Elephas maximus indicus: one gene and its partner. The protein of the gene in region 1 purifies or fractionates together with the protein of each later gene. This does not show direct contact. Links are inferred from orthologs where the notes say so. Each region holds a gene or a part of one and is shown in the gene's direction. Other genes may lie near its edges.

Evidence for each region. Proteins that work in one complex are often made in the same cells at the same time.
Region 2: the proteins of USP4 (region 1) and EDC3 purify together in Homo sapiens (co-immunoprecipitation; 3 studies listed by BioGRID and IntAct, with this or other methods). This does not show direct contact. The link is inferred for Elephas maximus indicus from reciprocal best matches to the Homo sapiens genes USP4 and EDC3.

What each region holds. Positions count from the first base shown.
Region 1 is NC_064838.1:53,785,895-53,793,160, reverse strand, and holds the start of USP4 (ubiquitin carboxyl-terminal hydrolase 4), read left to right. Parts: upstream 1-4,240; 5' UTR 4,241-4,303; coding exon 4,304-4,404; intron 4,405-4,432; exon of another isoform or gene 4,433-5,527; intron 5,528-6,389; coding exon 6,390-6,517; intron 6,518-7,266.
Region 2 is NC_064831.1:64,765,375-64,773,078, reverse strand, and holds the start of EDC3 (enhancer of mRNA-decapping protein 3), read left to right. Parts: upstream 1-4,631; 5' UTR 4,632-4,653; intron 4,654-4,791; exon of another isoform or gene 4,792-4,974; intron 4,975-5,009; exon of another isoform or gene 5,010-5,494; intron 5,495-7,704. UniProt on the Homo sapiens protein: Binds single-stranded RNA. Involved in the process of mRNA degradation and in the positive regulation of mRNA decapping. May play a role in spermiogenesis and oogenesis.

The sequences.
Region 1 (7,266 bases):
CCCCATAGTTGGAACCAAAAACCTAGGAGGACTGTAGTTTCATCCTGATCTTGTTATAACACCCAGTCAACGCTGTTCTCGGTGCTGCTTAAGTCAACTGGAAGGGTAATCCTTCATGTATCGCACCTAGTGCTTTCACTTGTGCAACAACACCTTGCCTTCTAGAAAGCTTGCTGGTTCATTACCCCAATCCCAAGGGGGACCCTTTTTTACCAGTTGATAGAGTGGTCTCAAGCACTGGTCCAAGTGGGTAATAAATACTCTCCAATACCCCAAAAGACCCACAAAGGCCTGCACTTCTTTTGGTGTCGTGGAAGGGGGGGAAAATTTATATAGTATCATCTATGGTTTCCCTAGGAATTTTACCAATGTTTCTGGCCCCTGCACCTTTTGGGGATTCACGGCCCATCCTCTCCCCTGTAGGAGAGTGATTAAGATGTCTAGACAGTCCTGTAACAGAGAAACGTCTTCAGCAGTTAACATAACATCATCAGTGTAATGAAACCAACAAATGGTAGCAGGAGAGGGGAAAAAAGCCAGATTCCAAGCAACCAAATCATGGTATATAGTGGGACTATGTAAATACCATTGGGGTAGCACTCAGAACGTCCATTGCTGTCCCCCTCAGATGAAGGAAAACTGGTCCTGAGCAGATGGGGCAAGAAGGATGATAAAGAACACATTGGCCAGGTCTCTACTAAAAGTTTCCAAATAGGAAGTTACATTTGGGACTGCAGCATGTGTAGGAGGGATCGCCTTGTTCTCCATAGTACACAGTCATACTCAATGACCCATCTGACTTCTTCACAGACCATACAGTGCTGTTAAAACCACAGCTGGGCTTTCTGGGGGATTACCTACCCTTTTCAATTCCAAAACGATTTCACTGATTTCCTTACATCCTCCAGGCACCTTATATTGCCTGATGTCTACCACTCTTTGTGGTGGAGACAGGACTACTGGTTCCCATGCTGCTTTTCCCCTCAAGACTGCTTCTACCACCTTCACCTGCAGTCAGAATTCTCCCACAGATGTGATCAAACTTAGTCCCATGAGGACATCCACTCCTAGAATGTATTCTGGTATTGTGGAAACACAAACTTCATACAATTTGGGGGTAGTACATTCTACTTGTAGGGTCAGGAGTACCTGATGTATGCAGATGGACTTTCCACCATACCCATTGTCTTTATTATCTAGTGCTGCTATAACAGAGATACCACAAGTGGATGGCTTTAACAAAGTGAAGTTTATTTTCTCACAGGCAAGTAGGCTAAAGTTCAAATTCAGGGTGTCAGCTCCAGACAAAAGCTTTCTCTCTGTGTCAGCCTTCTCATCAATCTTCCCCTGGACTAGAAGCTTCTCTGCGCAGGAACTCCAAGTCCAAAGGACACGCTCTGCGCCTGGCACTGCTTTCTTGGTGGTATGAGGTCCCCCTGTCTCTTTGCTGGCTTCTCTCTTTTATATCTCAAAAGATTGACTCAAGACACAATCCAGTCTTGTAGATTGAGTCCTGCCTCACTAACACAACTGCCATCCATCCTCCCTCATTAACATCATAGAAACAGGATTTACAATATATAGAAAATTACACAATACCAAGAATCGTGGCCCAGCCAAATTGATAGACATTTTTTAGGGGACATAATTCAATCCATGACACCTGTCAATTGCCAAGGGGGGTCCTTGAACCTGTTCAGGGTTTCCAAAGATAGGGGTGCATTCTGCCCCTGTATTAACCAGAGCTAGCACCCCACTGCTTGTTTTGTGACCTCTACATGGGGCCTCTGGTCCCCCTGCAGGCCCCTGACCTGCAGGTTACCTCAGCCCCACCCGTAGACCTTAGGGATTGGCAGGATCTACCTGGTGGCAAGGGGCACTTCTTCACAGGGGAAAGTGAAACCCAGAGGGCAGTATTATTGCTCTGGCTTCAGATTCTTCCAAAGATTGACCAAAACTGCATCTGGTTGTTTATCTGTCTTTTCTACTGTGGTCCTGGCAGCCACTAAGTCCATCCATATCTGCTTCTGGGTTACTTCCAAAGGGCCCTTGGACAATTGTCTTAGAGGCTTTTCAGCTTTTCTTTTTTCTCTTCCCATAAGGAAGCAGGCAGTGGGATCCAGAGGGTGGTATAGTTGCTCTGGTTTCAGAGTCTTTCAAAGGTTGACCAAAACTGCATTCAGTTATCTTTTCCACTGCGGCCCTGGCAGCCACTAAGTCCTCCCATATCTGCTTTCGGGTTACTCTCAAGGTGCTCTTGGACAGTCACCTTACAGGGCTTTCAGCCTTTCTTTTCGCTCTTCCCACAGTGTGCAGCCCCTTCTCTCTAGCCCTGTCAGTTTCACCTAAGTTGGCTATGGCTTCTCCCACCGTAGACTGCCTGGCCCACTAGGGACGAACTATAGCCACCAGTGTTCTGTACCAGGCAGGCAGGGCTGGCTGTTGGATCTTTCCTATCATTCCCACAGTAAACAGTTCATTGTCTGGTCCCCAGAAGGGTTCGGCATAAATGGCACATACCTAGCTCCCATATTAGTTGCTGTAATCGACTGTACTAGGAAGATCTCCCCCATTTGCCCATGCCTTTCTACAACACAAGATGATCCAATTACAGAAAGTGTGTATGCCCTCTGTGTTCTGAGCTGCATGTAAACACTGTCGGTGGGCGGGGTCAGTGGTAATATAACCTGTTTTTTCTGCCTCAGCTGCCTTAAGAAACACTGTCTCCCCTGATATCCCACAGATATAATAACCAAGCTGCAATGGTTTCCTTTCCTTTGTGCTGGAATTCCACATACAATTCAATCAACTCAGTGAGGGTGTATTCCTGCATTGTCACAGAATTGCTGGGTAGAATTTCTTGTCTAGGGTCATCCCGCTTGCAGGTAGTTTTTATCTTATGGGAGGGGAAAGCCATGCTCCTCCTCTAATATCACCACCACCTGAGTCACTACCAGGCTTGTCATCCCAAGAATTTCATGTTTTCACTTCCCAGTCACCTTTCATCAACATTGCCCTGATCTTCACATTTGGCACTTTCCTTCCCCCCTCCCCCATCTTTACAAACCTGCAGGCAAGCATTTCTAGTTGCTCATCCTGTTCGTGGACACAGCTGCTCAATATGTTAGTCATGGCCACGTGCGACTGCCGCATATCCCTTTCCAACTGTTACTCTTCCTGCAAAGCTCCTATGTGTTCTTCACCAGCTAGCTGGGTGTCAGTGGCCAGCCGAAAGGGCCAGACCAGCGGCCACCCTATGGCCCCTACTGTTTTCCTAGCTTCCGTTCCACACTTACGAAGGCGTACATCTTCCTGCAACCAGGCTATGCCGCTTAGCATTTTCAGGGCATCCCTACACTCACCGGGAGGTCCACACACATCAAGCATACAGCCAAACCGTTCCACATGGAGGTTGTTGGCCAACCTGGGATTTCCCCCCCAGAGGCCTCACTCCCACTTGCCATTTCTTCAGTCTCTTGGCTGGCTCGCTAACTGTCCTGGCAGAGACCAACAACTTAAAACTTGTCTTCAAAAACGGAGGGTGCTTGCTGAGAGCGGCAGGCAACTCCAGAGTGCCAACAAAGGAGTTTCTTAGGGAGACTTACATGCGAGGAACGTCCTGGGCAGCAGCATGACTAAGCAGATCTCCTCGCCCCGTGGTGGGGGACAGGGCTTTTCTAGCGGTGGCGAACAATAGTGGCTACATGCCAGGGACGCCTCTAGACTTACATAAGACCGCCTCGGCAAGAATTACAGAAGAATGACTTAGCAAACGTTAGTGAACTAGCAGAAAGCAGGAGTGCGGCCTCGCAAAGCCTGTTTCCCCTTCAACATAAAAGATGGCAACGTTGCGGGTCCCGTGCCACAGCAGAAGCGAAAGTGAGAAAATCTAGTCCTAGGGCTTCTCAAACTCAACTCCACATTTACTCAGGCCCAGGATAACCCCTCAGGTCAGAATGAAAAACGCACGGGGTCGTGAGGCCCGCCACCTGACGGACTGCGCGGAAACACAGAAAAGAGGGGCGGCGCAAAAAGCAAGCGGCAAGGCAGGCGGAAGCGGCAGCTCCTTCGGCTTCTACCCCTTTTCCGGCCTCCTCCCGGCTCCACAGCGTCTGTGAGACACGACGGCGCGGCGCGTGGGGGTGGGAAGAAAAGAAAGAGGCGGGCAGGCGCGCGAGGCGGTGCCGCGGGGCGGGGCTTGGGCGCGTGCACGTGTGTGCGTGCGTGCGTGCGTGGGCGCGGCTCGCCGCACGCTGTGCGCGAGGCGGATGTCCGGGCCGGCTGCGCCGGGGCCGCGGATGAGATGGCGGAAGGCGGAGGCTGCCGTGAGCGACCGGATGCGGAGACCCAGAAATCCGAGCTAGGTGCCTTGATGAGGACCACGCTCCAACGGGGGGCGCAGTGGTAAGCTGTGGGCCCGCCCTTCTACGGAGCACAGCTGGGCGCAGGAGCCCCGGCATTCAGGCCCGGCCCCTTTCAGCTTGGGGAGGAGCCGGACGGGGGCGGTGTCTGGTGATCTTGAGAGGGTGGCCTGACCCCCGCCCCTTGGGAGAGGAACCCTGAGATCGGTACTGGGAGAGCGCGGCGGGACTGGAGCTCATACCGGCCCCTTCAGAGCCCTAGGGGGCGGATCCGCGGGGGCAAGGGCTGCAGGATGGGGAGGAAGTGGAGTGCTCACAGGGATCATGAGGGTGGGAAGAGCCCTGTGTCATCGAGGACTCCCCTTGTGACCCTGGGCGAAGACATTCGCTCTTTGTAGACATTGGTTCCTTACTAGTAAAAGCAGGGTAGCAATACTTGGCCCACAGCCCTCACTCAGTTGAGGCAAGGATCAGAAGTAGATACTCGTAACTTGCAAACTGCAGAACAGATGTCAGGGTCAGAAGCTGAACAAATGTCTGTGAGCTCTAGATTATTTTGATAACAAATGTCAGAAATAATTGTGGTAGCAGCATATTGGAGTGGGAGAGGAGGGTGGCCTGGAGCCTAGAGCTAGATAGAAGATTAGAAGTACAGAATTTAGAAGAACAAAGAAAGCTGAGACACGAGGTTTCTTAATAGATTGTTTAGTAGAAAAGGCATTACCTTCCAATAGTGGAGAGATTACTGGGTGGTATTGTGTGGGAGTAGAAAACAGGTTAGGGTTTGCAAAGAATAAGAATGAACTTCTGCCTTTAAGAAACCATGGTGGTGATGATAATGTCATTTATAGTGATAGAGGAATTGAGTTCAGAATAGAAATATTGAGGTTAAGAGGAGTTCAGATACAGCTTTACAGTGTTTATCTTGAGCTAGCCAAGTTTTAAAAGGCAGAGCAAGCAGAGGTACTTTGGAAGTTATCCTGTTTAGGGGTGATACATGAAAAAGAATACTCGGTGGAAGGAGAGGGAGTTTACGATAGACTAAAATCACACAAAAAGTTTGTGGAGGGTATTGCTTAAGGGGTTTGGAGAGAAAAGAACATTTAGAAGTTTGGATATATTTGTGGATCCTGTGGCCTCTGGGAAGCTGCCTGATCTTCTCTAAGGTTTGTTGGTTACAAAATTTGAAGAACTTATGAATATTTGTGTTTTGTTGCCCCACAGAGGTTTCTCCCTCCTTCTGTCTTAATCATAAAAGTGATACTTTAAAATATAACCAGGTTTGCTTACTTTTCTTAAGTATAAAAAACAATAAGTTAAATATGAAACACAGTTTCAGAATTTTTGATAAGATGAACACAGTAGACACTAACTTTATGTAAATGTGTATATATATACATGTTTGTTTACATGTGTATATGTGTACTAATTACACATATAAGTATAAATTGTATATATATGCATATGCGTACTATTTTAATGGGTATTAGAGGAAATTATTTGTTATAGTCTAGTCAGATATCATCAAGGAAGGAAGAAAAGGAGGTGCTTTCACACATTTTTAATATCTTGTTTGGTCCACTAAGGAAATCTGAAGTAGGTGGAACTATTATCCCATTTTCAGAAATGAAATCAATTTAATGCTGTTCACATTAAGCAAAGCAGTGCAGCCACAAACTGTCTGCCTGGATGAGGACCTCTGTAGAAATCGTATGGAATTAATGACCGGTTGATCGCAAACAGGATTCTACCCATAGAAAGACTTAATTTAAATAAACATTTTGAAGCCAATCATTTCCTCCCTTCCATTCATTCATTCTTTTAAACAGTCATTTCACTTAAGGGATACGTGCCCTGGGCCATGCCCTCAGTGCTGTGTAGAGCCTGGCCCTGCTTCTGCTCTTGAGTCTGTTTTTTAATGGGGGTTGTAAGTGACCCAAAAGGAAAGACCAGAAAAGAACGAGGGGATAGGCACAGAAACTTGTAATGCCAGCTTTTCTGCCACAGTAAGTTTTTGTCTGTCTCTAGGTATCTTATTGACAGCCGTTGGTTCAAGCAATGGAAGAAGTATGTGGGCTTTGACAGCTGGGACATGTACAATGTGGGTGAACACAACCTGTTTCCCGGCCCGATAGATAACTCCGGACTCTTTTCAGGTGTAGTATCCTATTGCTTTTTTAGGTAAAATGTCTACTTGGGCAGTGGCCCGAAGGTGTGTTTATCTGTAACATGGACTTTCCCAGCATGAGGAGATAGAAATAAGTATCTTCGATTTGTGTGTATATCAGAAGCCTGCAGACCCTCCGAGAGAAGTTGAACTGCTTTATTTCCCTAAATTAACTGCTTTTAACAAGAGCATGCTTTTAGCATTTTAAATTTCTCTCTCTCTCTCTCTCTTTTTTTTGATAAATTAGCTCTGCTAGAGATTTCAGCTTTTAGATTGGTATACGGGATAGAAAGAAATAGGATATCATTTTGAAATTGGACCTGGAATCTGAAACTTGGAAACCAGAGTTTTCTGTGTCACCTTTGCAGTTGAACAAATTGTAGACGGTCGATGTTTGTCAGGTATTCTTGTGATAACAGTGTTTGTCATAAAAGTAGAATGAAGAGAGGTGGAAGGTCGGTAGACAGAGTTGTGACCACAGTCAGCTCCCAGTGGGGACTATGGAAAAAATGATGCATGACACACCTAAAATTGGCTTGCACCTGTAGATGCACAAAGATGAGAGAGTCAGCCTTCCCAGGCTTTGCTCTGCCTGACTTCAGACTTGCTCACAGGCAGGACAGAGGTTATCTGTTACCTGTGCCCAGAATCAGGGCAACAGGAAGGCAGACCATGTATGAAGCTTGATCCAAGTACCTAACAGTAGCCTGGATATTTTTAAAAATGAGCAACACTGCA
Region 2 (7,704 bases), on another chromosome or scaffold:
GTTTCTTGGATTCCTGGATTCTACCCCAGACCTACTGAATCAGTCTCTCAGAGGGAGGACTAGAATCTGCATTTTTAACAAACTTCGTAGAATACCACTGGCTTTTGGTTTCCAAATGAACTTAACGAGAACGACTTTTCTGTGTTCAATCAGAAACAGAAACAATCCTTTTCTCAATTCTCAGAATGACTAGCCCTGGAGAATGTAGACGCAGTTTAGAGAAAGAATGTTCCCTTCCCAATTATGAAATTATTTGTCACACCCTTCAGGCCACAGTAGAAACTCAACAATGCTTTTCACACTGGGTGATTGATCTGCCCATGAATTCTAGGTCAAAATACAACATAGCATAATTCTCTAAATCAAGCAATTCTTCAGGGCTGACAGAGCAGATAGTGGATTAAGGCAGTTGCTGACTGCTTTACCAAGGTTTAATAGCTCACCAGCTGGGACTTCAGAGGTGCCTAGAACTTCTCAGTTTGAGCCTTGGGGAAAGTCTATGTAGGAAGCCTTAGGACAATTCCTTCATACATTCAACACTTATTTTAACATCTACTATGAGGCAGGAGGTCCCTAGGTGGCACAAACGGTTTGCGCTCAGTTGCTAATCAAAAGCTTGGCAGTTTAAAACCAACCAGCAGCACTGCAGAAGGAAAGCCTGGCAATCTGCTTCTGTAAAGATTACAGCTAAGAAAATCTTATGAATTTAGTTCTACTCTGTAACATACAGGGTTGACATGAGTGATGTCACGGATTGAACTGTCCCCCCAAAAATGTGTGTATCAATTGGGCTGGACCATGATTTCCAGTATTGTGTGATTTACCTATATGTTGTAAATCCTGCCTATATGATGTTAATAGGGGAAGATGGGGGCAGTTGCGTTAGTGAGGGAGGACTCAGCCTACAAGATTAGATTGTGTCTTGGGACACTCTCTTGAGACATAAAAGAAAGAAGTGAGCAGAGACACATGGGGACCTCATACCGCCAAGAAGGCAGTGCTGGGAGCAGAGTGCGGCCTTTAGACCCAGGGTCTCTGCCCAGAGAAGCTCCTAGTCTGGGGGAAGACTGATGAGAAGGCCGAGAGAGAGAAAGCCTTCCCCTGGAGCTGACACCCTGAACCTGGACTTTTAGCCTACTTTACTGTGAGAAAATAAACTTCTCTTTGTTAAAGCCATCCACTTGTTTTTCTTGTTATTTCTGTTATAGAAGCACTAGATGACTAAGACAAGTGGTATTCAATTAATGGCAATGGATTTGTTTGTTTTTATAAGGCATGCCCTGTGCAAGGCTGATGGGACTGCTGTTGTTAGATGCCATCAAGTCGGTTCCAATTCATAGTGACCATATGTACAACAGAAGAAAACAATGCCCTGTCTTGGGCCATTCTCACAATCATTGCTATTTTTGAATCCACTGTTGCAGCCACTGTGTCAATCCACCTTGTTGAGGGTCCTCCTCTGTTTCCATGACCCTCTACTCTAGCAAGCATGATGTCCTTCTCCAAGGACTGGTCCCTCCTGATAACATGTCCAAAGTACAGGAGATGAAGTCTTGCCATTCTCACTTTTAAGGAGCATTCTGGTTGTACTTCTTCCAAGACAGAGCTGTTGGTTCTTCTGGCAGTCCATGGTATATTCAATATTCTTCTCCAACACCATAATTCAAAGGCATCAATTCTGCTTCAGTCTTCCTTAGTCACTGTCCAGCTTTCACATGCATACGAGGTGACTGAAAATATCATGGCTTGGGTCAGGCACATCTTAGTCCTCGAAGCGATATCTTCACTTTTTAATAATTCAGAGAGGACTTTTGCAGCAGATGTGCCCACAATGCAATACATTGTTTGATTTCTTGACTGCCGCTTCCACGGATGTTGACTGTGGATCCAAGTAAAATGAAATCCCTGACAACTTCAGTCTTTTCTCCGTTTATCGTGATGTTGCTTATCGGTTCAGTTGAGGATTTTTGTTTTATGTTCAGGTGTAATCCATATTGAAGGCAGTAGTCTTCAATCTTTATCAGTAAGTACATCAAGTCCTCTTTCCTATCAGCAAGCAAGGCTGTGTCATCTGCATATCGCAGGTTGTTAATGAATCTTCCTACAACCCTGATGCCACGTCCTTCATATAGTCCAGCTTTTTGGATTATTTGCTCAGTATACAGATCAAGTAAGTATGGTGAAAGGATACAATCCTGACTCACACCTTTCCTGATTTTAAACCATGCAGTAACCCCTTGTTCTGTTTTTAACAATTGCCTCTTGGTTTATACAGGTTCCTCATGAACACAATTAAGCGTCCCAGAATTCCCATTCTTCGCAATGTTAATCATAACTTGATACGATCCACATAGCCAAATGCCTTTGCATAGTCAATAAAACACAGGTAAACGTCTTTCTGGTATTCTCTGTTTCAGCCAAGATCCATCTGACATTAGCAATGATATCCCTTGTTCCATGTCCTCTTCTGAATCCAGCTTGAATTTCTAGAAGTCCCTTGTTGATGTACTGCTGCTACTGTTTCTGAATTATCTTCAGCAAAATTTTATTTGCATATACTAATAATCTTGGTTGATAATTTTCACATTCTCTTGGATCACCTTTCTTTGAAATGGGCACAAATATGGGTCTCTTTCAGTTGGCTGGCCAGGTAGCTATCTTCCAAATTTACTGGCATTGCATCCGTGTGTTGAAACATCTTAACTGGTATGCCATCAATTCCTGAAGCCTTGTTTTTCGCCAATGTCTTCAGTGCAGCCTGGACTTCTTCCTTCAGTACTATTGGTTCCTGATCACATGCTACCTCCTGAAATGGTTGAACATTGACCAATTCTTTTGGTACAGTGACTCTGTGTATTCCTTCCATCTTCTTTTGATGCTTCCTATGCAGTTCAATTTTTTGCCCATAGAATCTTTCAGTATTGCAACTCGAGGCTTGAATTTTTTTCTTCAGTCCCTTCAGCTTGAGAAATGCTGAGTGTGTTCTTCCCTTCTGGTTTTCTAACTCCAGGTCTCTGCACATTTTATGATAATACTTTGTCTTCTTGAGCTGCCCGTTGAAATCTTCTGTTCAGCTCTTCTACTTCATCATTTCTTCCATTCGCTTTAGCTACTCTATGTTCAAGAGCAAGTCTCAGGGTATCTTCTGACATGTGCTTTGGTCTTTTCTTTCTCTCCTTTTTAATGACCTCTTGCTTTCTTCACATATGATATCCTTGATGCCATTCCATACTTCGTCTTGTCTTCGGTCATTAGTGTTCAATGTGTCAAATCTTTCTTGAGATGGTCTCTAAATTCTGGTGGGATATGCTCAAGGTTATTCTTTGGCTCTCGTAGACTTCTTTAGAAGTAGATTGCCAGGTGCTTCTTCCTAGTTTGTCTTAGTCTGTAAGCTCCAGTGAAACCTGTCCACCATAGGTGGCCCTGCTGGTATTTGATATACTGGTGGCATAGCTTCCAGCATTACGGTAACACAGAAGCCACCACAGTATACCAAAATGACAGACAAGTGGTGGATGGGTCTGTAATGGTGAGCATAACATAACACAACATAATAATGTAACGTAACATAACGTAACATCACATAACCAACTGACCCCTGTGGCTACAGCAATGCTTGCAGTAAAGAATAATCTCATGATTGAAGATTGGGCCTTGTGAATTTAAAAACTTGTTTGGAGTAGACTATAAAACCCTAACCAAAGGAATGTACGAGAGAATTAACCACATTTTTAGGCATATCAACTATGAGCAGGTGCACATTATTCATTCAATTTCACAGCAACTTTGTCAGCTATCATCTCCAGTTTATCTTGTGTTTCATAGGTATAGTTTGTAAAAAAAAAAAAGAGCTAGCATTCAACCCTGGGTCTGATGTAGCAATGACTCCCAAACTTGGAGTATGCACAGAATTGACTGGAGAGAACCTTTAAAAAAATAGATGCCAGCACCCTTCCAGACCTACTAAAAAGGAATCTCTTGCGATTGGGGGTGGGGGGGTGGGGCGAGGATCCCCTGCAAAATAAAAGTTTTATAAGGTTCCTCAACTGATTTTGTAGAGCCAGTTTTGGAAACCACTGCCCTAGTCCATGCAGCCTGCACAAACAGTGGTTCCCAAACCAGGCGTCAGGCTTTAAGGATGCCTTGCAAACTTTAAGGTAGAAAACTCCTCGTTACACTTAGTCTTGGCCCTAAAGCCATGTTTTTTTTCAAAGTTAATACTGCTAAGACTATGAAATGCCAAAGGCAGGAGAACGGAGGGTGACACTTTATTGTGTACCAGGACAGGCTAGAGGGGAAGGAGGAAGACAGGGACAGGCAAGCAAGCGTAGAGAGGCTGACTCCAACTCCCCAAAAGGGCTGAGCTAATAAACTCTGAGGATTAGCCGCGGAAGGAATTTCTTGTTTCCTTTAACCTGTCCTCAGGTTGACCTACTTTTTGAATCCTACAGCTGCGACAGAGCAAGGATGGGGTCCCGCGTCATCAGGCACCCCGAAAGTCCTTCGCTCAAGCTTGGCGATTGGCGCAAGCGGTGGGTGAGGAAGCCCAAGTTTTTCTTAGAGCCTACAAAGGAAAACGGAGTTTCCCAGGCGTCGGGGCTGGGGAAGGGAGAACCAGGACCCCGACTCCAGCGAGGGTTCCACCCGATGTAAGTAAGTACGTGGAGCACGCAAAATGGCCGCCCAGGCGCGACTTCGGGAGGCCGCATGGCCAGCCCTTGCCGCGGTCTCCCCAGCTCTCAAGTTTCCCGGGCGCTCACCCTCAACCGCCCGCCCCCCAGTTCCAAGGCGTCGCGCCGGAAGTGACCTCACGCTGTTGGCGTGTAGACGCCCGGGCGGTTCCGGTGGCGGCGGCGGATGCCGTGGCTCTGGGGGTCGGTGCGGAGAAGAAGCCCCTCAGTCTTTGGGTCCCTCCCGCGTTGCGCCGTCGGCTCAGTGTGAAGTGAGGAGGAAGCGCGGCTGGACGGCGCGGAGGTGGGAGCGAGGGGAGGCGGCCGGTTTGTGAGCGCCCGTGGTCGGGGGCTTCCGTGGTTGGCCAGCAGTGTTTGCCTTCAGGCTTCGGGGTTCCAGGCCTTATAGAGCTTTACTGGGGTGGGTGGGAGCTGGAGGCCGCATCGGTATGAATGATATGGAGGCCAGGTACTAGGAGTTGCCCATGGGGTTTGGTTTAAGGTGGGTGGCCGAGGACAGCGGATTCTAAATAGCCTGGGAATGGCTTGCATGAGGTAGGAGGCGTTAGCGGCCTGAGGTCCTAGTCCAGCCTTGTTGGTGGCTGCTGCAGCTCACTCGTTGCTCCGTGCTTCAGTTTCCTTTTGCACAGTGGGATAGGGGAGCAGGGAAGAGCAGAGTGCCATACCCATGAACTGATGGCTTGAGGACAGAGGTGAGCCGGGGTCTGGGAGACAAGGATGGCTGAGAAGTTAATGATACACGCTACGGCGCATCCTCTGCTGAATCTCAGGAACTTCCCTCTCGATTTTTTCCTGCCCTTGGTGTAAGTTCGCGGTTCTTGTTACCAGTACTTGTTGTGATATTGATTGTGCTTATCAATAATTGACATGTTAAGTAGTTAAATTGCTGTGATGTGTGAGAGGCAGAGTCCTTGCTGATTTGGCCGCTTGCTTTTGAATTATCTTCCAATTCTAGGCCTAGAAGGAGTTTTAGCAGTCTTCTCCTCTGCTTACAGATGAGGAACTTAAGAACCAGAGTGGTTTTCGTTCTTTTCCCTAGCCACAGACTAAACTAACTTCATTTGGATGTCTGCCAAGTATAGGTTTTAATCCCACCAAAACGTAAGTGTCTCTGAGCAGATCAGTGTTTCAAACGGAAACTTCTAAGGGATCTTAATCTTTATATATGAAAGACAAATTAGGTGTACTGAGCACAGAACTCTTTCCCAGTTGCTGGTTTCTCTGTATGAAGTGAAAATAGTTGCAAAGAACATGCCCTTTTGATTACTAAGAGTATTTTGGTGGAGTCTCCTTGTAGGGGTAGGGCTGTGAGGCTAGAAAAGTATCTCTCAAACTTTGTTAACCTGTGACCCACAACTAGATACATTTTACATCATGACTCAGTGTGCCCCCTGCTCACAGGAGCAGGAACACACACACACAGACACACACACAACAAAAGTTTATTTATCCTTTCTACAGGTGATGCCTTTTGACATTTTTTATTTCATTAAAAGGAAAAAAAAAGTTGCAAGTCGCTGAATTGACTCTAACCTCTAATAGATCATGAACTGTAATTTGAATAACACGGGACTAGAAAATATTTTAGATCCTTGTCATTCGTGAGATCCTGTAATTAATGCAAAGTGGAAGATGTGTCATATTTCTGTTCGTATCAACCAGACGAGCAGTGTTACTAGATGTTAAGCCAACCTTCCATTCCTGAAATGAACCCCACTTAGTCATGGTGTATAATACTTTTCATATGTTGCTGAGTTAGATTTACTAATATTTTGTTAAGAATTTTTGTGTCTATGTTCGTGAGGGATATTGGTCTGACTTTTTTTTTTTTTTTTTAATTGTACTTTAGATGACATTTTCTTTTCTAATGATGTCTTTGTCTGGTCTCAATATCAGAATAAAACTACTCTCATAAAGGAAGTTGGGAAGCGTTCCCTCCTGCTCTGTTTTCTGAAAGAGTTTGTGTAGGATTGGTACTATTTCTTTCTCAAATGTTTGATATAATTTACCAGCGAAGTCCTCTGGACCTGGCCTTTTCTTTCTGGGAAGATTTGTAATTGCTAATTCAGTTTCTTTACTTGATAGAGTTCTATTTAGGTTTTCTTTGAGTCAATTTTGGTAATTTGTATCATTCTGGGAATTTGTCCATTTTATATTTTTCCTTTTTCTTTTGAACTTGTACCCATTCCACTTTTCCCAAAAAGTTTTGGGAATACGATGTTTTAAAAATATACAAATAAGCTTTTTTAAAACTATAAGGTATGTATGAAATGGCGTACATTATTTTTAAATGTTAGACCAACCTCGCATTTCTGAAATTCCTTCATTCCTGAAATGAATAAAGCAGGGATCTGTGTGCTTTTTCTGTAAAGGGCCAGATGGTAGAATTTGTGGGCCATATTGTCTCTTTTTTTTTTTTTTTTTTTTATTGTCTCTGTCACAACTACTCAGCTCTCCCATTGTAGTGTGAAAACAGCCATAGAGAAAACACAAATGAATGAGCATGGGTGTGTTCCAATAAAACTTTAGGGACAGTCGGCCAAATTTGGCCCACAGGTTGTAGTTTACTGACCCCTTTTCTGTGGAGGGAAACTCTGGTGGTGTAATGTAAGAGCTATGGCTGCTAACCAAGAGGTGGACAGTTTGAGTCCATCAAGCACTCCTTGGAAACCATATGAGGCATTTTTACTCTCTCCTGTAGGGTTGATAGAGCATTGCTATGAGTAAAAAAAGTTTTTTTTTTTTTATGAGTTGGAATAGACTCGACGGCAACGGATTTTAATGGGCTTCCTATGGAAGTTGACTCCCGTGCTTTCGTATCTCTTGGAAAACTTTGTTTACCCCCAGAGATATGCATATTCTAGTTTGAAAACTGGGACTTCTTTCCAGGATATTGGAGAGTGAATTCAGACATTTTTGTATTTTTGTTTGGTTGAGAAAAGAGGTGGCCCTCACAGTATGATTTTCAAGGGCCGTAATGCCAGTCCTCTGTCTAGTCAGTATTTTTTCTGAT